Linked DNA regions of Elephas maximus indicus. The protein of the gene in region 2 interacts with the protein of the main gene of each other region in a pairwise test. Links are inferred from orthologs where the notes say so. Each region holds a gene or a part of one and is shown on either strand. Other genes may lie near its edges.

The links.
Region 1: the proteins of PRKAR1A (region 2) and C6H2orf88 interact in binary tests that used the Homo sapiens proteins (3 or more experiments, as listed by UniProt). The two-hybrid records come from large-scale screens. The link is inferred for Elephas maximus indicus from reciprocal best matches to the Homo sapiens genes PRKAR1A and AKAP19.
Region 3: the proteins of PRKAR1A (region 2) and AKAP10 interact in a two-hybrid assay, tested with the Homo sapiens proteins (3 studies listed by BioGRID and IntAct). The link is inferred for Elephas maximus indicus from reciprocal best matches to the Homo sapiens genes PRKAR1A and AKAP10.
Region 4: the proteins of PRKAR1A (region 2) and PLEKHF2 interact in binary tests that used the Homo sapiens proteins (3 or more experiments, as listed by UniProt). The two-hybrid records come from large-scale screens. The link is inferred for Elephas maximus indicus from reciprocal best matches to the Homo sapiens genes PRKAR1A and PLEKHF2.

The regions. Positions count from the first base shown.
Region 1 is NC_064824.1:88,403,600-88,409,247, reverse strand, and holds C6H2orf88 (small membrane A-kinase anchor protein), read right to left. Parts: upstream 807-5,648; coding exon 522-806; downstream 1-521.
Region 2 is NC_064837.1:58,913,776-58,920,787, forward strand, and holds the start of PRKAR1A (cAMP-dependent protein kinase type I-alpha regulatory subunit), read left to right. Parts: upstream 1-4,007; 5' UTR 4,008-4,317; intron 4,318-4,550; exon of another isoform or gene 4,551-4,643; intron 4,644-4,649; exon of another isoform or gene 4,650-4,738; intron 4,739-7,012. UniProt on the Homo sapiens protein: Regulatory subunit of the cAMP-dependent protein kinases involved in cAMP signaling in cells.
Region 3 is NC_064820.1:212,340,366-212,347,977, reverse strand, and holds the start of AKAP10 (A-kinase anchor protein 10, mitochondrial), read right to left. Parts: upstream 3,025-7,612; 5' UTR 2,892-3,024; coding exon 2,804-2,891; intron 1-2,803. UniProt on the Homo sapiens protein: Differentially targeted protein that binds to type I and II regulatory subunits of protein kinase A and anchors them to the mitochondria or the plasma membrane.
Region 4 is NC_064833.1:46,884,730-46,891,833, reverse strand, and holds the start of PLEKHF2 (pleckstrin homology domain-containing family F member 2), read left to right. Parts: upstream 1-4,096; 5' UTR 4,097-4,298; intron 4,299-7,104. UniProt on the Homo sapiens protein: May play a role in early endosome fusion upstream of RAB5, hence regulating receptor trafficking and fluid-phase transport. Enhances cellular sensitivity to TNF-induced apoptosis.

The DNA.
Region 1 (5,648 bases), on a different chromosome or scaffold from region 2:
TGTTTGATCCTTTGTGTCAAAAAGTGGGGATCCTTGACACAAATGATTTTAAGAAACAAGACCCACTAATTATCATTATGGCTTGAGTGCTGTTGCCCTGCCAAGGCATTCCAAGAAAAACCTTTTTCATATCTTTAGCTTTTTTGTGTAAATATGTTATTTTAAAGTTATGCCTTAAGCATTTGGAACCTGGGGCACTTTTTATTCTTAAGCATTTTCTTTGGTGATGTTGCTACTGCCTCAAGAAGAAAGTGGTGTGACATGCAGCTGATTATTGTGGTGTCCTTTAAGTGACTAAAATCCAGGATCAAGCAGGTAGAAAATGCTGTTATTAATGTAAAACTGCTTAAAACACGTTTCGTCTTGTGTTCCTACACCAGGGAAGTTATCATAGGCCTTTTTTTTTTTTACATCCATATAGAGTTATCTGTACTTATTCACACCATTTTTGCTTTTGTTTCATATATTTAAAACTAGCACCAACTATAACCACAGTTTAAGAAAGTGTCATCACCCTACCATCAAGGCCCCTCGCTCTCAATGTATGGGATATCACAGTATTTGATGTTATTGCATGCCCACTGCTGCAAGGCATCATTCAGGATTTCCTGGGACAGACGGTGTGCATATTCTAGGACCACAACACTGGGCTCTGGGGGCGTCTTCACGTTCTCTTCGACAACTGGAGAAGGCATCCTTGGTAGAAATCTCTCTTCTGGCATAAAGTTTTCTTCACTTGAGTGTCGTTTCTCATTCTCAAGTGTGGTAGGAAATGGGAAAGTTTGCTTTGATTTCATGCAGCCCATGGTATGAAGAGTTTTGACCGAGGGGAGGAAAGCAGTAGAAAGACTATTTCAACAGCATCTTTGGCTACACGAAGGGTAAGTCCATGTGATACTGATTGCTTTCCTTCTCTAGGGCCACTTGGGGAATCAGTGTTCCCGTCACCACTCTTCACATGTAGTGTTTATCTGTCGAGAGAAGGGAGGTTTTGTTTCATTTTGAAGTTACAGAATGCAAAATATTCTATGATTAGGTGGCATGTAAAAATAGTCCTCCTTAGCACTTGGAGGAGATAGGCAGTAACAACAAACAGCTTTATCTCATCAAAAAAGGCAATCACTTAATAAAAATGGCAATTTACAAGATAGGAAAATATCTTTTCAAGATCTTGAAAAAGTGGTATAAAACTGAAAACAGTTAAACGTTTGATAGCTTAGATTTATCTATACCAAGGGTCAGCAAACTATGGCCGATGGGCCAAATCCCAGCTGCTTTTTTTTTTTAATTTGTAAATAGAACATAGCCATGCACATGCATTTACGTATTGTCTATGGCTGCTTTCACACTACAACAAACATCAGAGTTGAGTTCAGCAGAGACCATGTGGCCTGCAAAGCCTAAAATATTTACTATCTGGCCCTTTACAAAAAAGTGTTTGCTGACCTCTGATCCATACTGTCAGGGGAAACAAGCATATGAAAATTTGCTCCTGACCCAAATCTCAGGAGCCTACTCATCTTTGGCTGCTACCAGAGGAAGGCTTTTCCCCTGGTCAAATGTTTACAACTCAAGCAGTGGCAAAGAATGATAATCCTTACACTGGTGCAAATTCGAAACAATGCAGTCTAGACATGGCAAAGCCACCTACTTCTTCTGAATTAGATATTCCCTGTGAAATGATATGGAAAGCTCAAATTAATGTTAAGTATCTCATTGCCACTTTTTGGTGTTTAGACAGTGAGTAGGCTCCAAGGCTTGTGAAGTTCCTTCTCAGCTTCCCAGCTGGGATGTTGTCACTGAATGAACTCAGGATTTAAGGGTGACTGGAAACAAGACAAAACAACTTCACTGGAGGGAGGTTTGGCCACAGGAGAGAACAAGCAATGAATGAGGTCTTAATGGTCTCTTAATATGTCTTAAAGCCTATGGACCAAAGAAATACCTCTAAAAATGAATAAAATTCAGAAATAACTATTTCTGAAAACACTGATATTAAGTAAAAACTAGCATGTATTTTAATTCTATTTTTAATAGTTTAAAATTAAAGAAGTCTATAAAAAGTGACCTTTGTTCAGGCCTACTGTTATACATTTTTCTGACCTGTATAAATTCTACCCGATTTCTCTCAATACTACATCTGTTCCCTGCCCTGCCTCCTAAGGATCATATGGGGATAGACATAGGAGAGCTGGCTTTCTACTTATAATTTAGTCCTGTATGCCCTGCTACAGGAAACCCTGGTGGCGTAGTGGTTAAGTGCTACAGCTGCTAACCAAAGGGTCAGCAGTTTGAATCCGCCAGGCGCTCCTTGGAAACTCTATGGGGCAGTTCTACTCTGTCCTATAGGGTCACTATGAGTCGGAATCGACTTGACAGCACTGGTTTTGGTGGTTTTGGCCCTGCTACATGTTCCAGGAAGATTTCGAGATGTCTTTTAAAAGGGGAAGAAGGGATGTGTGTGAGCTCCTTGAAGATGGGGACTGTCAGGGTTGTGCATCTCTACCATATGATGACTTATGTAGTATCTATTTTGTACAATGAGGATTAGTTAAGGGAACTGGACATATTTAACCTGAAAAAGATTAGAGACCTCACTGAGTGTCAGATAAATAAAAGGCCATGAATAGAATAATCTGTGTTACCTAGAATCGTTAATTTTGCAAAAGCAGCTTTTGTCTGACTATAACAGTAACTAGTACCAGATTTGTTCTCACCCAAAACTATAAAACTAGACATAATGTATGTGGAGAGATATTTCTAGGGATTGAACAACAGGCAACAGAGGACTGTGCTTCCTGAGTACAAGGGAAACACATGGTATTAAGCCCTACAATTGATCATCCTAGGTTTCTGTTGAGAGTAGCAGTTCTGCTGAGCTGAGGCAGAATTTTGGGGTGCTGAAGCAGCTGGAATTAATAGACAGTTCAAGAGAAAAGGGAGCCGTGGAGACTCACCAAGGATACTTGGCTAGGATGTACATGTGCAGGATGAGGATATGCAAGATTTAGCAAAAGATTACTTGCTCTGGGGCTTAGAGCTGAACAGTGATACCGGAAGGCCTTAGAGTTCCAGACTAGCCAGAGTGGAGAGACCTCATTGAACACTTCAGGTACTTAGTTATGTAAAGTGATATTCTCTGTTCTAGAGAGGTGACACCTTAGGAGTCAGGAGCATACCCTAGAGTAGGGGTTGACTACGTTTTTCTTAAAGAGCTAGTTTGTGAGCCATATGGTCTCTGTCACAGCTATTCACCTCCGCTGTTTGGCACAAAGGCATGCATGTTGTTGTTTGGTGCTGTCAAGGGTTTTGGTTAGCAGCCCACTGCTTAAGGGTTACACCACCGGGCGTCCTGAAAAGCATCCACAGATAATATGTAAACAAACGGGCATGACTGTGTTCTAGCAAAACTTCATTAACAAAAACAGGAGGCAAGCCTATAAAAAAAAAAAATTTTTTTTTTTTTTTTTTTATAGGCTGTATTATTCCAACCCCTCCCTAAAGCAAGGGTCATGCTCTTGGACAAAGTTCAAATAGAAATAGTCCCATGCTAACAAAACTCACCATTTAAAGAAAGATAGCATAATTCATATTCCCTACAAGCTATTATCCACAATGTCCATCATATAAAATTATTAGATGTAAAGCAGCAGGAAAATGTGACCCATAATCGAGGAAAAAAGCAGGTCTTAGGAGCAGAATTAAAGTTCTTGGAATTAGAAGACAATAGCTTTAAAGCAGCTATTTATATTTTAGGACATAAAGGATATAAAATGATCATAAAGACAGTATAAAATAGGGGATTTTATCAGAGAAATGGAAATGGTATATATATTAAAAAAAAAAAATGGGAACTAGACCTAAAATGTACAATTATCTGAAAACTCATATGAACTAAAAAGATTGAATGCAGAAGAAATGGTTAATGAATGTGAACAAAAATCTATATCCAGTCTAAAGAACAGATGGTGTTATGAATTGAACTGTCTTCAAAAATGTATTGTAAATCCTAACCTCTATGATTGTGATTACAGTCCCATTTGGGTTATTGTTATGTTAATGAGAGATTAATGTAGGGTGTATCTTGAGTCAATCATAAAAAAGATTAAACACAAGCTAGCAAGCAGAGACGGGATAAGAGAGATGCCAAGCCACATGAAGATCACCCAGGAGCAGAAGCTAAAAGAGACAAGGACTTTCCTCCAGAGCCAACAGAGAGAGAGAGCCTTCTTCTCCAAGAGCTGGCACCCTGAATTTGGACTTCTAGCCTCCTAAACTGCCAGAAAATAAATTTTTGTTTGCTAAAGCCATTCTCTTTTGGTATTTGTGTTATAGCAGTACTAGATAACTAAGACAGAGGGGACAGAAAGATTTTAAAAAATTGAACAGAGCAACCATTAAAAAGATAATACAAACAAATATGACTTAAAAGTATGGCTTAAATTAGGAATTAGATACATTGAATCCAGAAGGCAGCAGAAAAGGAGGAACATAGGAAGAAAAACAAGAGGGGTAGCAGGCCTAAACTCATCATATCAAAAATTTGAAAGGAAATGGACTTAAAATTCCAGTTAAAAGGCGGAGATGATCAGAGTGGTTAAAAAGATAGATTCAACTACATACTATAAGACATGCATTTTAAATACAACTAATACAGAGAGATTGAAAGCAAGAAGTTAGGAAAAGCATATACTATGCAAAAAATAAGCATAAGAAAAGCTGCAATGGCTATATTAATATCAAAACTGACTTTAAGACTAGGAGTATTATGAGAGATAAACAGGGACATTTTATAATATGTCAGTGAGGAAGAAATGACAATTATAAATGTGTATGCAACTAATTACATGAAGTAAAAAAATGATAGAACCCTTTAAAGGGGAAAAGAAACCCACCATCATAGCTGGAGATTTCAAAATTACTCTCCTAAAGTAAGGAAAGAATACAACTTTTGAATAACACTATGATCCAACTTGAGTTAACTGACATTTATACCCTATACCTAACAGCGGGAGGATACATATTATCGAGTGCATATGGAAGATTTAACAAGATAGACTACATGTTGGACCGTAAAACATATCTCAACAAATTTCACCAAAAGTTTGAAATCAGTGTATTTTCTAACTACTACAGAATTCAGTTAGAAATAATCCTCAGAAAAGCCCCAAATATTTGGAACTTAAACATCACATTTGTAAATAACCCATGAGGCAAAGAAGAAATGACAAGGGATATTAAAATACACGTTCAACGAAATAATAAAATCACAACTTAGAAATTTATATAGATTTAAATGCTTGTAACAGAAAAGAAGGGAGCCCTGGTAGCACAGTGGTTGGCTGCTCAGCTGCTAACCAAAACGTTGGGAAAAAGCTTTGGCAGTCTGCTTCCATACAGTACAGATAACAGTCTTGGAAATCCTATGGGGCAGTTCTACCCTGTCCTGTAGGGTCACTAGGAGTTGGAATCGACTCCACGGCAATGGGTTTGGTTTTTGGTTTTGAACAGAAGAAAGGTTTAAAAATCAGTGATCTCAGTTTTCACCTCAAGAAGCTAGAAAAAGAAAAGTAAATTAAACCAGAAGTAAGAATAAGGAAGGAAAGAGTATATAGCTAAGAGCAGAAATCAATGAAACAAGCAAAAAG
Region 2 (7,012 bases):
ATGCAGACCACACATCAGCTAATAGGTCGTTTCCTAGAGATGCTTATTAATATTATTTTCCAGGACAGGATAAGGTGCCTGTGTGGCACAAATGGTAAAGTGCTTGACTTGTAGCCGAAAGACTGGTGGTTTCGAACTCACCCAGAGGTGCTTAGGTAGACAGGCCTGGTGATCTGCTTTTGAATGTCACAGCCTTGAAAACCCTTTGGAGCAGTTTTAGTCTGCAGACACTGGCTGCCATGCATGGATGGCAACTAACAACAAGACAGGATAAGGGATTTACCTCAGCCAGAATTCTAATCTGCAAGCAAAGAAAGGTGCGTCTGAGCCAAGCCATGGTATTTTCAATTGCATCATATGCATGTGAAAGCTGGATAATGAATAAGGAAGACTGAAGAAGAACTGAAGCCTTTGAATTGTGGTGTTGGTGAAGAATATTGAATACACTATGGACTGCCAGAAGAAAGAAAAAATCTGTCTTGGAAGAAGTACAATCAGAATGCTCCTTAGAAGCAAGGATGGTGAGACTGCCTCTTATATACTTTGGACATGTTGTCAGGAGGGATCAGTCCCTGGAGAAGGACATCATGCTTGGTAAAGTACAGGGTCAGCAGAAAGGAGGAAGACCCTCAATGAGACAGATTGACACAGTGGCTGCAACAATGAGCTCAAGCATAATGATTGTAAGGATGGCGCAAGATGGGGCAGTGTTTTGTTCTGTTGTGCATAGGGTCGCTATGAGTCGGAACTGACTCGAGGCACCTAACAACAACAACAAAGCAAAGAAATAAACTCTAGGTGACCCAAACTGGAAAGGAGTTTACCGAAACCATATTGGGGCTGATACAGTGTCTGGGAGGGTGTAAGACACAAGCTTGGTGCTATGCCAATCAGGAACAACCCTTGAAATCTCGAATACATAGATCTATCCTTAACCAATGGAAGCTTTAAACTTGACCACTAAGAAGTGGGTCACCAGAATATTCCTTCCTTTTATATTTCAGTTCTCTTAGTGTTACTCCTGCTTACTAAATATACCACTGGTAATTATTATTCTTTAGAAAAATTTTGATGTTGTACAAACATTATCACAGCAATTAAGGAATACTGTTTTAAAGGGATAAATTTACTTACAACCCTACTACCCAAGAAACCTTTTTTTTTTTTTGAGCTCTTCTAGGACACAGGCCAAAGAGCCCTTGCGGTACAGTGGTTAGGTGCTCAGCTGCTAATCAAAAGGTTGGTGGTTCGAATCCACCCAGTGGCTCCTTGGGAAAAAAGACCTGGAGATCCGCTCTGGTAAAGATTACAGCCTAGGAAACCCTATGGGTTGTTCTATTCTGTCACATGGGGTCGCTGTGAGTCAGGATTGACTCGATGGCACCCAACGACAATAACAGGACACGGGCCAAAGGTAAGGCCAGCAGACCTTTGGATCAAGGGCAGAGGGCTTCTGGCAAAGAGGAAGCCACACTGAAACTACAGTGGAACATAGGTCATGTCCACGGGTCATGAAACATAATTTATAAGTCGGTCTTTTTCTCTCAGTGGCACAGCAGCTCTGGAGGAGTATCTGCGCCATTTGGAAACCACCGAGGCTGTTTGGCTTTTCCGAACAGCTGTCTCGGTAAGCTCGCCCAGGCTCAAGGACCTGCTGCCCGTTTCCCTTTCTGTCTTTTGAAGCTCCAGCATATGAGGATTTGGCAGCTAGAACAAGGTTGTGCCGGCTGACACAGGAAACGGCCCGTGGCTGGCCTAGCGCCTGAATGCAGCTGAATGGGGACACACACCCAGGCCAGAGCAAGGAAGCAGCTGCCACTCAAAGCATTGGGCTCAATGTCACCAGCTAGCTTGTTTCCTTGTCCTAAGTACCTTGAGTGCCTTAGGAAGGTAGCACTAATGGGGGGACACAGAATAACTCAGTTCTAAACCTTGTAGTTTGGGTAGCTCTTTAGGAAAGAGGAAGAGAAATGGGGAGTAAATCAACATTTATTTAATGCATCTCACACCATGCTGAAGGAGCCCTGGTGGCGCAATGGTTAAGGGCTCAGCAAATCTTCCAGTGGCTCCGAGTGAGAAAGACCTGGAGGTGCGCTCCCATAAAGATTATGACAGCATAGGAAAACCTGTGGGGCAGTTTTACTGTCACATGGGCTCACTATGTGTCTGAATCGACATGAGGGCACCTAACAACAACAACATGCTATGGTGGAACTTCATTTATGCATATACTGCCAAGGAGAGTTATTAAGATTACTGCCTGGGTGTGAATCCCACTAGCTGTGTGGCCTTGGGAAAGTCATTGTACTTCTCTGTGCCTCCTTTTCCTTCTATAACAATAACAATAATAATACTATTACCTATGTCAGAGAGTTATTATGAAGATTAAATTATTATGTGTAAAGCACTTAGTGCCTGGAACTTAGTAAGTGCTGTATGTGTTTGCCGTTATTATCTGTTAATTAATTTCAGTGCAGCTCTGCTTATCCTTTTACAAATAAAGAAACTGAGGCTCATGGAGATTAAGTCCAGGTGGCAGAGCCTGAAACCAAACTCGGATTTATCTGACAGCAAGGTTTCTTCCTAGAACATGACCGGGCCTGCTCAATGCTATCAAATTCCCTCTCTTGCTTGCCAGCTCAGAGTTCAGTTTATCAGTCCCTTCTTTGTATCGACAAGGGTGAAATCTTATATGACTGGGACTCTGTCTTTAATCCCCCATTCGGTCCACTCCGTCCCTGGGAAAAGGCCAACGGCCAACATGTGGGGGGTCGGTGGGGGGAGAAACTTTCCTCCTATATTCCCACCCGTGGGCCTAATCAGCTCTCTGATATTGCCTTTGCTTCCTCTGACTAGCAGAAAGCAAGGGATAAGCATAACTGAATAAAATAAGTACGCTGATGAGCAGGACCCTCATCATAACCTGATGGATTTAGGGGAGCGGTTGGATCCCTAAGCCAGTGCCGTCCAACAGAAATATAATGGGAGCCCTGTTATATTTAAAATGTCCTAATGAAAAATCAAACCTGTTGCCGTGGAGTGGATTCTGACTCAGTGACCCTACAGAACAGGGTAGAACTGCCCCACTGGGTTCCCAAGGTTGTAAATCTTTATGAAAGCAGAGTGCCACATCTTTCTCCTGCAAAGCAGCTGGAGGGTTCGAGCTGCAGACCTTTGGTTAGCAGCCCAGGGCTTGACCACTGTGCCACTAAGCTTCCTTCAAAAAAGTAAATAACAAAGGTGAATGATTTTAATAATATTTAACCTAATATGTCCAGAATATTAGCATTTCAACCTGTAATCAATATAAAATTTTTATACAATAAAAATTATCTGTTTTACACCCCCCCCCTTTTTTTATACTGTTAAATCCTTCGTGCATTTTACAGATACAGCCCTAGAGCTATATAGGATGTGAGCACAAAAGCTACTGGCCAGACACTTGGATTCATGTCCTTGAATGGCCTTCTTCCTTCATTTAGCACTCTTATCCGTCTAAAACTGTCCCCTGCGGCAGATGAGAGCAGATATTCTGATGGAAAGAAATGTCTGAAGGGCTAAAGAAGTCGCTTTTTGCCTGAGTTTCCCGTATTAGTGCAGTTTTTGCAGGCAGTCTACGTTTCTTGTGTGCTGATAGAGCGTTTGTGACAATCTGCATGGCTCTCCATTTATTACCATGTGGGGTCAGGCATGATGATGGGGGTGGGGGGGGGAGGGCACGTCGGATTCTAGAAAGACTCGGGCCTCCTCGTGGGCCCTGACGAAGTCCTTTCCTGGGTCTTGTGCCCATGGAGACGGTGTGGTCCCCATTGACGACAGCTCCTCCAGAGGGGAGAGTGGCTTGGACCGCCAAGCAGAGTCTTGGCAGGGCTCAGATTTCCTGGACCGATGGCTGCGCTAGCCTGGAGCACCGCGCGGCGCTGGCCCTGCATAGGATGAGCGGCGGGGCGTGTGCATCCCCGGCATCCGCCCGCGCTCGGCCGGTGGCGCAGCTGCAGCAGATCCGCCAGGGCCTCCGCCCCCTCCCGGGCCTGGAAGCCGCAGGAATCTCCCGGCCCCCGGCCCCGCGTCCTTCCCTGCAGGGGCCGTGGGGCGGAGTCGCCCATCTGTCATTCGAGACGACCCACGTGGGCCGGCTCGGGGGTGGTAGAGAGGGAGGAGAAAAGGCAGAGGCGTCGAAGGAGGCCTGAGAGCGGGGAGGAGAGAGGAAAGGAGTAGACAGAAGAGGAGAGAGGGGAGCGCACTAGAGCCCCGGGGAGAGGGAGCGAGGTGCAGAAGAACGAATAAAGGGGACCTGAGACATCCAAAGAGGAACAGGTAAGGAAGGGCGGATGAACAGGAAGGAGGGTAGAACGGTACTGGAGAGCGTGGGGAAAGAAGAGGTGGGAGTGGGAAAAGGGCTGCAGAGGAGGGACGCTGTGAGACGGAAAGAAAAGCAGGAGACGATTTTAGAATGAGTAGGGGCGAGCGCTGCTCAACTGGGGGTCGGTGGGTGGGGGCGGGAAGCGAGCAGGGCTGCTGCGCCTTTAAGGTTGCCAGGGCGACGGCTCTGGCCAGAGCGAGGCGCATTGACGTCAGCAGCCGAGCGCTGATTGGCCGTGGCGCGGTCGTTTCCGGTGGAGCCGCCGCGGAGCCGCTTATCGGTGAGTGGAGCGGGGCTGGGAGGGAAGCGCTGAGGGAGCTCGGCACGCCGCAGCCTCGCACCTGCAGTCCCGTGCCCGCCGCCGCCCGTCACTAGGTAAGTGGGGTTGGCCGGGGGGCCTGGGGCGGCGCGTTTTGTTGCCCTGCCGCCCGTTTGGGGGCGCTGGACCGATCCAAGATGGCGTCTCGGGGAGCGACCTGCAGGGGACGGCCGCACCCCCTGCCCCTCCCCGGCCTCTACAGGCGCTTCTCTGCAGGCCCGCGCCCCAGGCCGCGCCCCCGTCCTGGGTCTGCAAACCCGAAGCCTCCGGGTCGCCGGGGCGTCTGCTTCGGGCCAGGGCTCCCCGGCGGCCCCGCCCCCCGCCCGCGCGGTCCCTGCGGCCTCCCCCGGCCCTCGGCACCCGGCCGCCTCCGCCCTCGCGCGTCGCGGTCTCCGCGCTCGCCCGCCCCCCTTTCCTGAAGGACGGCAGCTCGATTTTGCTGGAATTCGCCATCGTTGCCCCCGATGGTTCTGCCTGGTCTGGAGGCGCAGCAGTTCTTCTCCTCTCTGCTCCGTCTCCCTCCTGTCATTTCCAGCCGTCGTTTTCTCTGGCCTTCCCGGGACCGTTTCCCCCCACACGATGATTTTGGCCTGGCCCCTAAATTTTTTTGTCCCCCTTCATTGCCCTTTCCCGGTTCTCCCCTCCCCCGCGGCCTCCCGACTAGAGTAGGAGGAGGGGTCGGCCTCCTTGCGTTTTGTGGTCATGACCGTGGCAGAAGCCAAGTGAAGGACACTGTGCTGTCCTTCCTCTCGAAAAGACGCGATAGCTATTACTCCTCCAGCTCCTTGCTTGTATGGTGCCAGATGACTTACTACTGGAGAGATTCTCAGGAGTGACATCTTTTTAGCAGAGGAAGGAAAGCTAAGGCTTCAGAATGACCCCAACGAAGTGTTGCTTGGCCGGTCTGAGGGGTTGCGGTCTGAATCAGGAAGTTTCTCAAAATATTTAAGTCTTTGCGTGTAATCCTTTTGACACTGAATTTTATCACAACTGCATTTCCAAAAGAAAGAGTGTGAATGTTTCCTTATGGGTAGAGACAATACAGTAAGTTTTAATGTAGTTAAGTGATTTTGAGGGGAAAGCTAAGTTGTTGAGGGTTTTTAAAATGAATATAAATACAGGGCGAATCCAGAGATAGTCAATTACAAATATTAAGATTGTGGAATTCAGAGATTCACTTTGTGACTGCATTAATCTTGGGGCATTTTTATTCATATACTGCCTTATTACCAATGTCTTTTTTGTCTTTTGAATACATTACTTTGTTTCAAACAAGAACGGTCTCTCCTCTTGGACCCAATTCTTTTCATCTCTACCAGCCAAGGACCTGCTCTTTGAATGATTTCGCTGATCAGCTGCATAGTTCTATGGATATTTCTGAAATACATCTGAATGTTTTGAAGCAAAAAGATCTGATTTATCATTGTTCATGGTGGCCTTCAGTATTATTTGAAATGCAGAAAATTTTACTGAATGTATTTCTGTTCATGTGATTGTAATTGACTGACATGAAAAAGTGACTGGTATAAACCTATCCTAAAGTAAAGAAACTTTTTTTTGAGTGCTTTTTTTTGAAATAGCAGCATGATTCTTTTTCCATGGCCTCTAATTTATGGGCTTGTCAAGGAGCCACAAACTTTCTCAGGGTCTATTAATTAGTCTACTTGTTACTGACCTTTATTATGAAAGTTGTCACAACAAAATGAGTAACAGTGTAGCACTTTAGAATAGCTCTTTATCCTGGTATTTCTGTTTCTCAACTTTTACATTTAGAGTTTCATCTCTCTGGTTTGTGGTTTTGCATTATAATTGAAAAAAAGTCTGATTAGTATTAAATTCAGTTGCAGAGTAGAGGGGACCATGCTTTTTATCTTCTACTCTTAATTGCTTAAGATCTTTCCTCCTTAAAACCACTGGGTAATTCTGTTATTTAGGGCTGGAATCTGGTAAGTGATTGATTCTAGAATAAAAGATTGCTTTGAAAACTCATTTGGGGTTCCATTTGTGTCTTTTGACTTTGTGATTACTTTAGTAGTTGGCTAATCAGATTCTTTGCTCCAGTGGTTTGCTGTGTAACATCAGGAGATCCCTGTGGGACAGGAGTTACGTGCAGGGAATGTCAGATGTTCTTCGTTGTGCTTACTTGCTTTCATTTAGAGCTGACCTGTGTGGCCTTGCAACTCTCTGCCCTGTTTACCGTTTACACACTTCCCACGTCATCATGATGTCTTTTGCAGGGGAGAAGTGAATGAAATTTCCTTAAGGGCTTGACTTCTCAGCAGCCCGCCTCTGCAGGGAATAGTGGCTCATACTTCCTCCCAGGAGCTGAG
Region 3 (7,612 bases), on a different chromosome or scaffold from region 2:
GCTCACAGGCTGTGAAGATCAATGAATCCCAAGATCAGCCAGCAAGACTGCAGGTAAGCTGCAAGCTCGAGACCCAAGAACCAGAGGTCAGACGAACAGGAGCCAGCTGCAGGATCCAGGATGAACAAAAGCTCCCGAGCCCTCTCAGAAGGTCTGCCCACACACCCAAGGAAACTCCCCTTCAACCGATTGGCTATTCACAGCAGATCCCCTCATGGGGGTGTTCACATATCAAATCTCAAAAGTGAAGTGACCACATCACATGACTGCCAAAACACTGAGAATCATGGCCTAGCCAAGTTGACACACAATCTTAACCATCACAGTATCAAAAAGCAAAACAAAACTTGTTGCCATCGAGTGAATTCCGACTCATAGCGACCCTACAGGACAGAGTAGAACTGCCCCATAGGGTTTCCAAGAAGTGGCTGATGGAATCAAACTGCCAACCTTTTGGTTAGCAGGCAAGCCTTAACCACTGTGTAACCAGGGCTCCAACCGACCTATACGAATCCAAAAAACCAAACCCAGTGCCATCGAGTCGATTCTGACTCATAGCGACCCTACAGGACAGGGCAGAACTGCTCCATAGAGTTTCCAAGGAGCGCCTGGCAGATCTGAACTGCCAACCCTTTGGTTAGCAGCCGTAGCACTTAACCACTACGCCACCAGGGTTTCCAAACAATCTATAGCACTGGGCAAATCTGCTGCAAAAGAACTTTTTAAAGTGCTAAAAGGCAAAGATGTCATTTTGAGGAATAAGGCATGCCTGACCCAAGCCATGACATTTTCAACTGCCTCATAGGCATGCGAAAGCTAAACAATGAGTAAGAAAGACTGAAGGACTGGTGTGTTTGAATTACGGTGTTGGGGAAGAATATTGAATATACCATGGACTACCAGAAGAACAAACAAATCTGTCTTGGAAGCACTTACCAATGATGACCAAAGGTTACAGCCTTCATTATCAATTACACCACAACATAAAGAAAACAGAAATCCTCACAACTGGCCCAATATGCAACGTCATGATAAACGGAGAAAGTACTGAAATTGTCAAGGATTTCACTTTCTTGGATCCACAATCAACACCCATGGAAGCAGCAGTCAAGAAATCAAATTTTGTATCGCATTTGGCAAATCTGCTGCGAAAGTCCTCTTCAAAGTGTTGAAAAACAAATATGTCACTTTGAACATTCTGACCTAAGATGTGCCTGACCCAAGCCTGGTATTTTCAATCACCTCACACTCATGAGAAAGCTGGACAATAATAAAGGCCAAAGAACTGACACATTTGAATTACGGTGTTGGCAAAGAATACTGCAACAACAGGCTCAAACACAGCAATTATTGTGAGGGTATTGCAGGACCCGGCAGTGTTTTGTTTTGTTATAAATAGGCTCGTTATGAATCGGAACCAACTGGAGGGCATCTAACAACAACATACGTGTGTAAATACAAAGTTTTGTTTGTTTATTGTCTGTCTATCCAAGCAGACAATAACCTCCATTAGTGCAGAGACTTTGTTTTGTTCATTGCTCAATCGTGAGGGCTTAGCACAGTGCCTGGCAGATAGATGGCACTCAGTAAGTGTTGTATAGAGACAACAATCTGTTGCGTTAAATTGCAATTTGCTTCACTATACTTGGGTTTTTTTTTTTTATTTTAATACTTAGAATGCTTTTATCCCCTTTAAAAAAACAAAAACAAAAACTCATCACTTCGACACTCTCAAATGAGAGCAATTACCTTAACAAAAAAGCTTCCTTATGCTATTTTACCAATTTCATTCATTCACCACTGTTTATCACCTGGCATCAGTTACTAAAACCCCAAAAACATACGGAAATTCTTTAATTTGCTTAGTCAAGAATTGAATGGAGCCTTAGAATCACCTCATTTTCAGTTGAGAGTAGTTAAGGAATTTTACCAAGCAGTGGTTTTTTTTTTTACAGTTAGTAGTAGAGCTATCATGTGCACCCAAGTCCTTGATTTAGTTTAGTGCTTTTTCCAAAACCCACCTATGCGCGGTACACTTTCTCTGAAGCAAGAATTGACACAGAGACACTACCATCAAAAGAGACTCACACTTGTTCACTTTGGAAATGTAATTTTAATGAAATACAACTTTTTTTTTTTTTTTACCCAGGATCAAGAACCAAGCTGTCTCTACTTAGAATGTGGGCAGTTACTACAACTGAAAATCAGATATATACGTAGTTTTTTATAAAGTTAGGTTTCCAGTGGTTAATAAACATGCTAAATCATCAAAAGAAGTAGTCCTCTTTATTAGCGAACTTTTAGCATAAGCTAAGTAATGTTATTTTAGAAACAGCAGTAGTCCTCCCGCCCTCTCCCCCCAGAAAATACGAAACTGGAAAATAGCACTAGTTGAAAAAAATTTTTCACGCGTTGCCTTTAAAAACAAAACCCTCAGTATTCTGAAATATCAGAGACTTCCTGTAACAAAGTACTAAACATATTTTCTTTTTTTTGAGGCATATTACGCAAATAAACCGAAAAGCTGCCTTTACGCAAGCAGGTATTAACTTCCACGGGTTACAGCAACACTCTTGTAGCAGCGCGACAATTTCTCTCTGACCACGCACGAGGAGGCCACTTTCTCCCTCCCAGCAAATTCCCGGAGCAGAGCAAGGGGTCTTTGCACGGAGGTCGAGCGGCTCAGTAAGAGTTTCGCAGCCACAGCGGAGAGAAGCCCTACTAGGCCCACCGCCCCTTTCCCCCTTCCCCCTTCGCCCTCCGCCCCCCGCCCCCCGCCGCCTCGGCGGCGCCCCTCAGCTACCTTTCCGCCGGAAGAAGGACATGGCGGGGCCCGGGTCAGGGCGGAGGGCCCGGGGGGACTGTCGCGGGGAGGGCCCGGCTCCCCTCATTCAGCAACTGGCCCGGACTTCCGGGTCTGCCTCAGCCGCCGCACTAGCCCGAAAACAAACCCTTCTTCCGGGTGTGGGCCCTACTGCCTCCTAGAGATGCCTGGGCAGTGCCTGCCGCCATATTATCAACAAGCCGCCCACCCGGAGTTCCGGTCCTTCCCCGCGCGAGGCTTCACGGGAGGCTGGGCGGCCGGCCCCGCCTGCGACTCTCTCCAGGGTGCAGGCACGTGTCCGCGTCGCTCACGTGACCTTGCGGGAGTGCGACCTGCGCCCATCTCCCGGAGTGTGGATGTTGAAGCAGTCGGCATCGTCAGCTCTGCTACGCTGCCGGTAGTGTAGATAATGGCTCCTACGCTGTAGACCCCATCTTTGCAAAGGAATCCTCCTGGAGCAGGATCCTTCCCGGAGCTCCCCGGTCCTTCGAGATAACGCGCGGCTCTTGGAGCGCTCTTCTAGAGGCTGGGCCACCAGTGCTACGCTCAGCTTAACCCCTCAGTGTTTTTCCGTTTGAGATTTTCTAAAATTAGACGCTGGCCGGCATGGACTGGCTTCAGCGTGCACCTCCAGCCCCTCCTCTCTTAAGGGGCTTCGATGTGTGCGAGAATCTTGGTGGGGAATAGGAGACGTGAACTGCTTCATGCAGCTCCGGTGAATTCTTTTGTCACAGTGACCTCGGAAATGAGAAAAGAGAAGTGGGCTTATTTTCATAAGGTGATCTCTGCGAATGCTGGAATTTGAAAGGCAAGCGCCAGTGAATCATCCTTCAAGTCTTCTTCAAATGTCATTTTCCCTGTGAATCTTCGGACCCTCACTCTATTCCTGTAGCAGTGAAATCAAGCCTCCACCCCTTTAGTATCTGTCACCACTCTCTTGAGTGCACTCTGCCAAGTAGAATAGGTCACTGTTTGTAGCCCTTAGCTCCTGCCAGGGAGGGAGCCAGGAAGATAGTGTGTCTGGTAGTAGAAGCTCAGTAAGTGTTGGCTCGATTTTTTTTTAGTTTTTATTGTGCTTTAAGTGAAAGTTTACAAATGAAGTCAGTCTCTCATACAAAAATTTTTATACACCTTGCTAACCCGCCGAAAACCAAACCCAGTGCCGTTGAGTCAATTCCAACTCACAGTGACCCTATAGGACAGAGTAGAATCGCCCCATAGAGTTGCCAAGGAGTGCCTGGTGAATTCGAGCTGTCGACCCTTTGGTTAGCAGTCGCAGCACTTAACCACTGCGCCACCAGGGTTTCCATACACCTTGCTGTGTACTCCTAATTGCTCTTCCTCTAATGGGACAGCACACTCCTTACTTCCACTCTCTCTTTTTGAGTCCATTCAGCCAGCTTCTGACGCCTCTGCCCTCTCATATCTTCTCCAGGTAGGAGATGCCAACATAGTCTCATGCGTCTACTTGATCCAAGAAGCTCTTTCTTCGCTAGCCTCATTTTCTATCCTGTTGTCCAGTCCAATCCCTGTCTGAAGAGTTGGCTTTGGGAATGGTTCCTGTCTTGGGCTAACAGAAGTTCTGTCTCTGGGGTTCTTCTAGTCTCAGTCAGATGATTAAGTGTGGTTTTTTAATGAGAATTTAGGGTCTGCATCCCACTGCTCTTCTCCCTCAGGGTTTCTCTGTTGTTCCTTGTCAGGGTAGTCATCTGTTGTAGCCAGGCACCACCTAGTTCTTCTGGTCTCGGGCTGATGTAGTCTCTGGTTTATGTGGCCCTTTCTGTCTCTTGGGCTCATAATTACCTTGTGTCTTTGGTGTTCTTCATTCACCTTTGCTCCAGGAGGGTTGAGACCCATTGATGCATTTTAGATGGCTGCTTACTACATTTAAGACCCAGATGCCACTCTCCAAAGTGGGATGCAGAATGTTTTCTTAATATATTTTATTATGCCCATTGCTTAGATATACCGAGACCATGATCCCCAAACCCCTGTGCCTGTTACACTGGCCTTCAATGCATTCAGTTTATTCAGGAAACTTTGCTTTTGGTTTAGTCCAGTTGTGCTGACCTCTCCTGTATTGTGTGTTGTCTTTCCGTTCATCTAAAGTAGTTCTTATCTGCTATCTAGCGAATACCCCCTCCCTCCCTCCCTCCCTTCCCCCTCTCGTAACCATGAAAGAATATTTTCTTCTCAGTTTAAACTATTTCTCGAGCTCTTATAATAGTGGTTTTATACAATATTTGTCCTTCTACAACTCACAAATTTCACTCAGCATAATGCCTTCCGGATTCCTCCACGTTATGATACGTTTCACAGATTCTTTGCTGTTCTTTATCGATACGTAGTGTTCCATTGTGTAAATATAAAAAATATATATACCGTAGTTTATTGATCCATTCATCTGTTGATGGGCACCTTGGTTGCTTCCATCTTTTTGCTATTGTACATAGTGCTGCAGTGGACATGGATGTGCACATATCTGTTCCTGTAAAGGCTGTTATTTCTCTAGAATGTATTCTAAGGAGTGGGATTGCTGGATCATATGGTAGTTCTGTTTCTAGCTTTTTAAGCTCCAAATCGATTTCCAAGGTGGTCGTACCATTTTACATTCCCACCAGCAGTGTATAAGTGTTCAGTCTCTCAACAACCTCTCCAACATTTATTATTCTGTGCTTTTTGGATTAATGCCAGCCTTGTTGGAGTGAGATGAAATCTCATTGTAGTTTTGATTTGCATTTCTCTAATGGTAATGATTGTGAGCATTTCCTCATGTATCTGCTAGCTACCTGCATGTCGTCTTTAGTGAAGTGTCTGTTGATATCTTTTGCCCATTTTTTAACTGGGTTATTTGTCTTTTTGTAGTTGTTTTTGTTGTATCATGTAGATTTTAGAGATCAGAAGCTGATCAGAAATGTCATAGCTAAAAACTTTTTCCCAGTCTGTAGGTAGCCTTTTTACGCTTTTGGTGAAGTCTTTGGATGAGTATAGGTGTTTGATTTTTAGGAGCTCCCAGTTATCTAGTTTCACTTCTACATTGTTAGTGATGTTTTGTATACTGTTTCTGTCACGTATTAGGGCTCCTAACATTGTCCCTATTTTTTCTTCCATAATCTTTATCATTTTAGATTTCATATTTAGGTCTTTGATTCATTTTGAGTTTGTTTTTGTGCATGGAGTGAGGTATGGGTCTTGTTTCATTTTTCTGCAGATGGATATCCACTTATGCCAGCACCATTTGTTAAAAAGATGGTCTTTTGCCCATTTAACTGACTTTGGGCCTTTTTCAAATATCAGCTGCTTATATGTGGATTGATTTATGTCTGGATTTTCAATTCTGTTCCATTGATCTATGTATCTGTTGTTGTACCAGTACCAGGCTGTTTTGACTGTTGTGGCAGTGTAATAGGTCCTAAAGTCAGGTAGAGTGAGGCCTCCCATTTTGTTCTTCTTTTTTCGGGAATGCTTTACTTATCCGGGGTGTCTTTCCCTTTCATATGAAGTTGGTGATTTGTTTCTCCATCTCATTAAAAAATGTCGTTGGAATTTGGATTGGAATTGCATTGTATCTATAAATGGCTTTTTGTAGAAGAGACGTTTTGACAATGTTAAATTTTCCTATCCATGAGCTAGGTACGTTTTTCCACTTACACAGGTCTCTCTTGGTTTCTTGCAGAAGTGTTTTTTAGTTTTTTTGGTGTAAGTCTTTTACATCTCTGGTAAGATTTATTCTTAAGTATTTTATCTTCTTGGGGGCTACTGTTAATTGTATTGATTTGGTGATTTCCTCTTTGATATTCCTTTTGTTAGTGTAGAGGAATCCAACTGATTTTTATGTGTTTATCTTGTATCCCAATACTATGCTGAACTCTTCTGTTAGTTTCAGTAGTTTTCTTGAGGATTCTTTAGGGTTTTTGTGTGTAAGATCGTGTCATCTGCAAATAGAGATACTTTTACCTCTTCCTTGCCGATCTGGATGCCCATTATTTCTTTATGTAGCCTAATTGCTGTGGCTAGGACCTCCAGCAGAATGTTGAATAAGAGTGGTGATAAAGGGCATTCCTTTTTGGTTCTCCTTCTCAAGGGGAATGCTTTCAGACTCTCTCCATTTATGATGATGTGGGCTGTTGGCTTTGTGTAAATGCCCTTTATTATGTTCAGGAATTTTCCTTCTATTCCTATTTTTCTGAGGGTTTTTGTCATGAATGGGTGTTGATGTTGGCTGGATTTTTTAATCATGTGAAGAATGAGGAAACTGAGGTTCAAAAAGAGGAGACAACTTGCTTGAGATTATTCAGTATGTCAGTGTTGAAACTAGAACTAGAACCCAGGAACTTTTCACCATAATACTAGAGCAGGTTAATAGATTTGTCTATTTTTGTTGGGGTTCATTTGCAAATGCATGTAAGATGTGTTGATATTTACTGAAACTTACTACGTGCAGGTTCTCTGCTAAACTCTGCAGTTTAACCCTTGTAATAGCCCTAGGAGAGCCCTGGTGGTGCAGTGGTTAAGAGCTCAGCTGCTAACTAAAAGGTCTGTAGTTCGAATCCACCAGCTGCTCCTTGGAAACCCTATGAGGCGGTTTTACTGTGTCTTATAGGGTTACTATAAGACAGTAAACTGGGTTTTTTTTGGGATAGGGTTACTATGAGTTGGAATCCAATCAACTTGACAGCACTGGGTTTGGGTTTTGGTTTAACAACTCTAGGAGTCAGTCTTAGCGTAGACAAAACTAGGCATAGAAAAACAAAGTAACCTCCCCAAAGCCAGAGGCTAATTAGGAGT
Region 4 (7,104 bases), on a different chromosome or scaffold from region 2:
CCCCACACTTCATCTCTCTCTTCCTACCTCCAAAACCAAAACCAAAACCAAACCGGTTGCCGTCTGGTCAATTCCAGCTCACAGCTACCCAGCGTGTGTCAGAGTAGAGGTGCATTCCATAGTGTTTTGAAGGCTGTGACCTTTGGAAGCAGGTTGCCAGGACTTTCTTCTGAGTGGGTTCAAACTGCCAACCTTTATGGCTAGTAGTCAAGCACTTAACCATTTGTGCCACCTGGGGACTCGCTACCTACTTCATTGTTGCTGTGTGCCCTGGAGTTGATTCCAATCCATTGCGATCCTAGAGGACAGAGTCGAACTGCCCTTAGGATTTCCAAGGAGCATCTGATGAATTTGAACTGCCAACCATTTGTTCAGTTGTATCACTTAACCACTGTGCCACCAAAATGGATTGAATAGTGGCTCCCAAAAAGACATGTCCAAGTCTTAACCTTTGGTACCTGTGAATGTCACCTTATTTGGAAAAGGGTCTTTGCAGATGTAGTTAAGGATCTCAATATGAGATTATCCTAGATTTAGGGTGGGCCCTAATCCAATGGCAGGTGTCCATATAAGAAAACAGCAGAGGGAGATTTGAGACCCAGAGAGCCACAGAGGGCAGAAGGCCACGTGAAGCCTGAGGCGCAGCCTGAAGTTATTCTGTCACAGGCCAAGGAATGCCAGGAGCCACCAGAAGCTGGAAGGGGCAAGGAAAATTTCTCCCCTAGGGCCTTCAGAGGGAGTGGAGCCCTGCTGACATCTTGATTTCTAACTTCTGGCCTCCAACACAAATTTCTGTTGTTTTTAAGCCATCTGCTTTGTGATATTTGGTTATGGTGGCCACAGGAAACTACTGCAGTAATTTTCCCTACCTTTCTCAGGTGCCATACACCAGTAAGATCCTGTTTGCCCCACCAGGTTGCAGACAAAAGACACCCTTCCATCCTGCTCCCTCCCACCCCTCCTTGCTTCTACTCCTGATTCCCATCTCACCCTCCCTTGTTTGATGGCCCATTAGTACACATCTCTCTGTGTGATTTTGCATCTAGCACACTGTATAACCAGCTGCAGTGAGGGAGCAAAGTCCAGGAGGCCCCCTGCTGTGCCCAGCATTAACTCATTAGGTCCTGGATTGTCACAACCCAACATTGACAAGATTCTTGGCGTTAATTCTAGTTGTGTACCAGGAATTGTGCTAAGTGGACTATCTCTTCGAAACCTCTCCACAACCGTATGGGTGATGAAAATGAAGCCTAAGCAGGTTCAGAGATGTGCGGCCAGGTCACCCAGGTAGCAAGCAAGTGGCTGAGTAAGGACTGGAAACTGGGCATGTTGTAGGGTGAAAACATCACAAAGTTTAGTAAAGCAAAACGAAAGCTTTATTCGGCGTTTGTTCAAATAGGCAAAAGTTGAAATGGACAAGCATGCTTCCAGAGCTAATGTCTGCCCAAATCCAAAGAATATTACAGAATAGGCAAGAATGGGAAAACGGACAAGCATGCTGCCACAGATATATCTGTCTGAGTCCAAGGAATATTACGGAATAGACAAAAGTGGGAAAATGGCTAAGTATGCTGCCAGAGCCGTGTCTGCCCAAGTCCAAGGGTTACAGAATGGCAAGAATGGGAAAATGGACAAGCATGCTAATGGGCAAAACCATTGAAAGCTTCACCTTTTCACAGATTGGCTAGAAACTGCTAAATCTCTGATTCTACATTTTGAATTGTCATTCTTAACAATCATTGGTACAGGTTCAGTAAAGACAGTCAGGAGGGTCTTCACTGGTCCAACAAATCTTACTATTCATTAAAGGCTAGTAAAAAACGATAAAAGTTGGAAGCATGAGGGTCACTAGTGCTGTGTTTTATGATTTGTTTATGTGAAAGATTCCCTAAAAGATGTTTTCCAAAATTGTCCTAGCTATTGTCTTTATACCTCAGAGCCCAGTTGATGTGTCCTTGTGAATCCAGCTCCAGGTGGGTCACATTCCAAGACAGAGAATAATGGTTCCAATATTATCTCCTAAATCAGGTGGCCTGACTCTTTGCTCTGTGTGCGGTGTGTGAGGAAAAGCCTGGAGAGAATCATCTCTCTGTGGAGTAGGGAACACTTAGCAAGAAGGGTCCTCCAGTCTAAGGGCCCTCAGAAAGGTACATTTTTTTATTTCAGAACAATGGCACCAGAGGGATACTAGCTGACCCCATCCTTCAGCCCTGATTGGAAGCGCAGGCCTAAGGGCTAAGAGGGAGGCCCTCATCTAGGAATTCATCCACTCTGAGGGAGAGCGGGAGGGAAGGGTGAGTTCCATGCTCAGAAATACAAGTTAAGCACAGAGCTTACAGAGCATGCAGAGTCCCAGAGACTTCTGGGGAATCACAGATTATAGGCCAGGACATAGAAGGTGAGAACTTAGCAAATAAGACTTATTGAGTCCAGAGGGTTTCCCTGCCTGTTTCCTTGAGGTGATACGCAGTGAGACTTAGCTTGGAAAGGTTATAATGTATTTGTGTTTAGAGAGGCGTTGTGAATGGGTGGAGTCCCTGGATGGCACAAAAGGTTAAGCCTTAAGGTTAGTGGTTCAAACCCACCCAGAGGTGCCCTGGAAGACAGGCCTGGCAAGATGCTTTCGAGAGGTCACAGCCTTGAAAACCCTATGAAGCAGTTCTGCTGTGCACACGTGGAGTCACCATGAGACTCAAAAGCAACAACAATAGTGAATGAGTAAAACAAGCAAACCTGCATCTCCAGCCTTGGAGGAGAGAAGTGAATGGGGGTATTGGCTTTAAACTGAGAAGGCTGGAAGCAGCCTGAGGTGTGCAGAAGAGAAGAAAGGGAAATAAGGGAAGCTTGCCTCAGCCTTGGCCAGAGGTGTGGCCCCTGCAGCTTAACTGGTGAACACCCCAGTGACTCCTTGAGCACGTAGGCAGAACGTGAGGGGGCCACATTAAAGCTAGAGCAGTTGTTGCTGTGGAATTTGCCAGTGGGTGACTTTCTTACCTTTCTCCCCATGGGCTGATAGCCATGTTTGCTGAAAGTCAGTGGCATTTTCTGGCGCTATATACGTTTTTATATATATATACGTAGGCGTGCTTGATAGGACCTTTTAAATAAACCTAGTCCCAAGTTATCATTATGCTATTACATTTGTTAGTTGTTGGCAGATCTGTCCCACCATATACAAAAGCTGAGCTATTTCAGTTACTGTACTTATGAGTCATCTTGCCGATTTTGTATATATTTTCTACCACTGTTCTATAATCTCATCCTTTCGCTCAGTGTGTGCAGGTGATAATTATGTTCTTTCCCTTTCTTACATTTTACTTCTATGAGATCAAAATAGCAAAAAGGACAGTTACAGTTTTCTCTTAAAAGTTTGTGGAGACTTACAAAGCTGACCTTGACACTAGCGCTTTGACTTAGATCAGTGATTACAAATAACGTAAGTGCTCTTCCGAGCTTTGCAATAAGCAGAAATGCACATCAAGATAGCCTTGCATTTTAAGGGCAGATTGAACTGGGTGCCCATCTTGTCAAATTGTGAAGTCTTCAAAAATTCTTTTTGTGTTGAGTGGATTTGCTACATCCGTCATTGCTACTGAGGTCTAAAAAGATCGTCTGGAACGCATCAGTATTTGTCAGCACTCAGAGAGCTGAAGGGTCTCCTTAGGGAAAGGGCAAGGGAGGTAGAACAAACTGTAGTAACCCAAGAAAAGATGGATTTGTATGACTGAGAAGACTAAAGTCACGTGTTTTCATTCACCACACTATTTCTGGAAGGTCTTGGCAATTTTTAAAAGTTGTTATATCATTGTTTTCTTGATGGCTTCTCTAGCTGTTCAAACGTGGTAAGAAGATGACAGTGTTATCACACAAAAGGGAAGGAAGAGCCGTGTTCCTCTGACTGAAAAATGTTTCCTCAGTTCCTGTCTGTCCATTACCTTGAAACTCTCTCCAGTTTTCTCAGACAACACTGGTTGGAGCTGACACACTCAGAGGAACACACACTTCCCCATTCAGATGACCACATCAGGAAGTAGAAGCATAGCTTTGACTCAATAGGGGCTTCTCTGCCCACATGCTTCACATACGTGAACTGTCAGGCCTCATCTGAGGGACTTACAGTGGGTCAAGATCTCTTCTCAGCTGAGCCCAACCTGATTGCTCAGCAAATAGTTTTGAGAGAAGCTTAGACCTCAAGTGTGAGAGCCGCGCACAGTTATTTTTCCCGAAGATGTGCTGAAATCACAGATGTCTACAAGTCAACGCTTAAGGAATGGCACTCCTAAACAGCAGGAAATTTGGTATGTTCTCAGTTGCAAAAATGTGTCCTAGATGCTGCAGATGGTGATTTTATTCTTCAGCCACGACAATAGCCCTAGTTGGGGCCCTGATCATGCATTTTCTGGTGACAATGCTCAATGTATTCTGAGCTTATTTTAACCATATTTTGAAGTGAAAGTACATGTATTTTAGAGAACTGAAAGTGACTCTATGTGATTAAATCGTAGTGTCAGTATTTTTAATTAGCAGTCTTTTGGTTGAAATCAACAGAACCCAACTAGCTTAAAAAAAAAAAAAAAGCTTAAATAATAAAGAGAATTTATCATCTCACTTACTTAAAAAGTCCAGAGGTAGTTCAGGCTCTAGATAAGATTTGATGATGTCAAGGGTCTCATTTCATTCTGTCTTTCTGTTCTGGCTTCCCCTGTGTGAGCGGGCATCTTAGGGCAGACTTCCTTATGGTCCCAAAATGGATGCCAACAGGTCCTGGGGTTACATGATTTTTTGTTTATATCAGTAGGAAAGAGACCATCTCTTCCCTGAATTGCCAAATAAAATTCCTGGGCTTCATTCTGACGGAACCAATGACTGTATTTGGGACTATGGGATGCCCTGATGCCATAATTCCGCTCATCCTTGGAACTGAGGGTGGATCAATCCCCTGTGATGGTTAAGGTTATGTCAACTTGGCTAGCCACAATTCTCAGTGGTTTGGCAGTTATGTAATGATATAGTTATCCTTCATTTTGCGATTTAATGTAATCACTTCTGTGATATGATCTGATGTGATCAGCCAATCAGTTGTAAGGGGAGTTTGCTTGGGTGTGTGACCTGCATCCAACACTAGCTAGCTTTTCCTCACTCCAGATCCTGCATCTGGCTCATCATCATCTGACCTCTGGCTCTTGGGACTTGAGCCAATGGCCTGCCATATTGCCTGCCGATCTTGGGTTTGTCAGCCCCGGCAGCTACGTGAGTCAGGAGAAGCCTCCAGACTGACACCTGACCCACAGTCTTGGAACTTCGCAACCTCTATAACCAAGTGAGCCATTTCCTTGAGATAAATCTCTCTCTCTCTCACCATATATATGTGCATATATATTTATCTACACACTTCACTGGTTTTGCTTCTATAGAGAACCCAGCCTAAGATACTCCCCAAATGCTTTGTTGAGAGTGAGGTAAAAATGATTGCAAGGGAAATTCGGGATACTCTTACCAAAAGAAGTATAAGTAGATGAAAGGACGCAAAAATAACCAACATTCTCTCATGAGTGTTTTGGGAGGAAAAGCTATAAGCTATCCAGAAAGGCGAGTTGAGGAGTGACTGGGAAGGGCTCTGTTAAGAAGTCTGAACCTGACGTCTTTTGAAAGGTGATTTTAATCAGCAAATATCACCTAATATCCACAGAAAACTCCTTAGGGTCATTAAATACCCAACAATCTTTTTATGAAGTCCTTGGGTGATGCAAACAGTTAAGCACTTGGCTGCTAACAGAGAGGTTGGTGATTAGGAATATACCCAGAGATGCCTCGGAGGAAAGACCTGATGATCAGCTTCCAAAAGATCAGTCATTGAAAACCCTATGGAGTGCACTTCTACTCTGCATACGTGGGGTTGCCATGAGTCGGAATCAACTGGTTTGGTTTTGGTTTTTTAGTCTTTTTTACAAATGAAGCTTTTTTTTTTATGTGTGGTTAGAATAGCTAGACGTCTGGATACTGAGTAGATCCAAAAAAAAAACCAAACCCAGTGCTGTCAAGTCAATTCCGACTCATAGCGACCCTACAGGACAGAGTAGAACTGCTCCATAGAGTTTCCGAGGAGCACCTGGCGGATTTGAACTGCTGTCCTTTTGGTTAGCAGCCGTAGCACTTAACCACTGCGCTACCGGGGTGCCCACTGATAGGAACCTATTATTTGATCATTGTACTTTTCGTTGTGTTTGAAATATTTTATAATTAAAAACTGAAAGTGACACACGGATATGGTAGACATTATCAATATTTTATATTTTTCTCCTTCCTGTGTGCTCAGGAGACTACGCTTTCTAGCTCATCTTGCAATTAGGCAGTTCGTGTGATTAGTGCTGACCAATAGGCTGTGAGCAAAAACGACACTGGTTTGGTCTGGCCTGAGAGTATAAAGCTCTGGGTGAACTTTTGGCTTTCCCTTCTTCTTCAACATGATAGTGGATGCCAAATATTGAGATGGTGGAGCTGCAAAGTAGTTGGGACCACCGAATCACTGCACAATGTCCACTGCCTTGGAGAGTCATCAGATGTTCTGGTTATCAACTTCTGTGTGTCATACCACCCCAAAACTTATTAAAGTAACAATTTTCTGTTATCTCTTATGGGTCTGTGGATTGACTGGGCTCAACTGGGCAGCTCTTGCTGAGGGGCCTTTCAGACGGTTCCAGTCAGTTGCAACTGGAGCTGCAATCACCTAAAGACTCATATGAACTGGATGTCTAAAATGGCTCACTCGTATGTCTGGAATTGGTGCTGGGTGTTGACTGGGTAGGGGGCAGTTGTGATTCAGTGGTAGATTTCTCACCTTCCATGCGGGAGGCCTAGGTTCAATTCCTGACCAGTGCACCTCAGGAGCATCCACCACTTGTCTGTCAGTGGAGGCTTGAGTGTTGCTATGATGCTGAACAGGTTATAGCAGAGCTTCCAGGTGAAAACAGACTAGGAAGAAAGGACTGGTTATCTACTTCTGAAAATCAGCCAATGAAACCCCAAGGATTGCAATGGGCTGATCCCATTGTACATGGGGGCTGACTAGATAGGAGCTAACAACAAGTCTTCTTATTCAAAGTA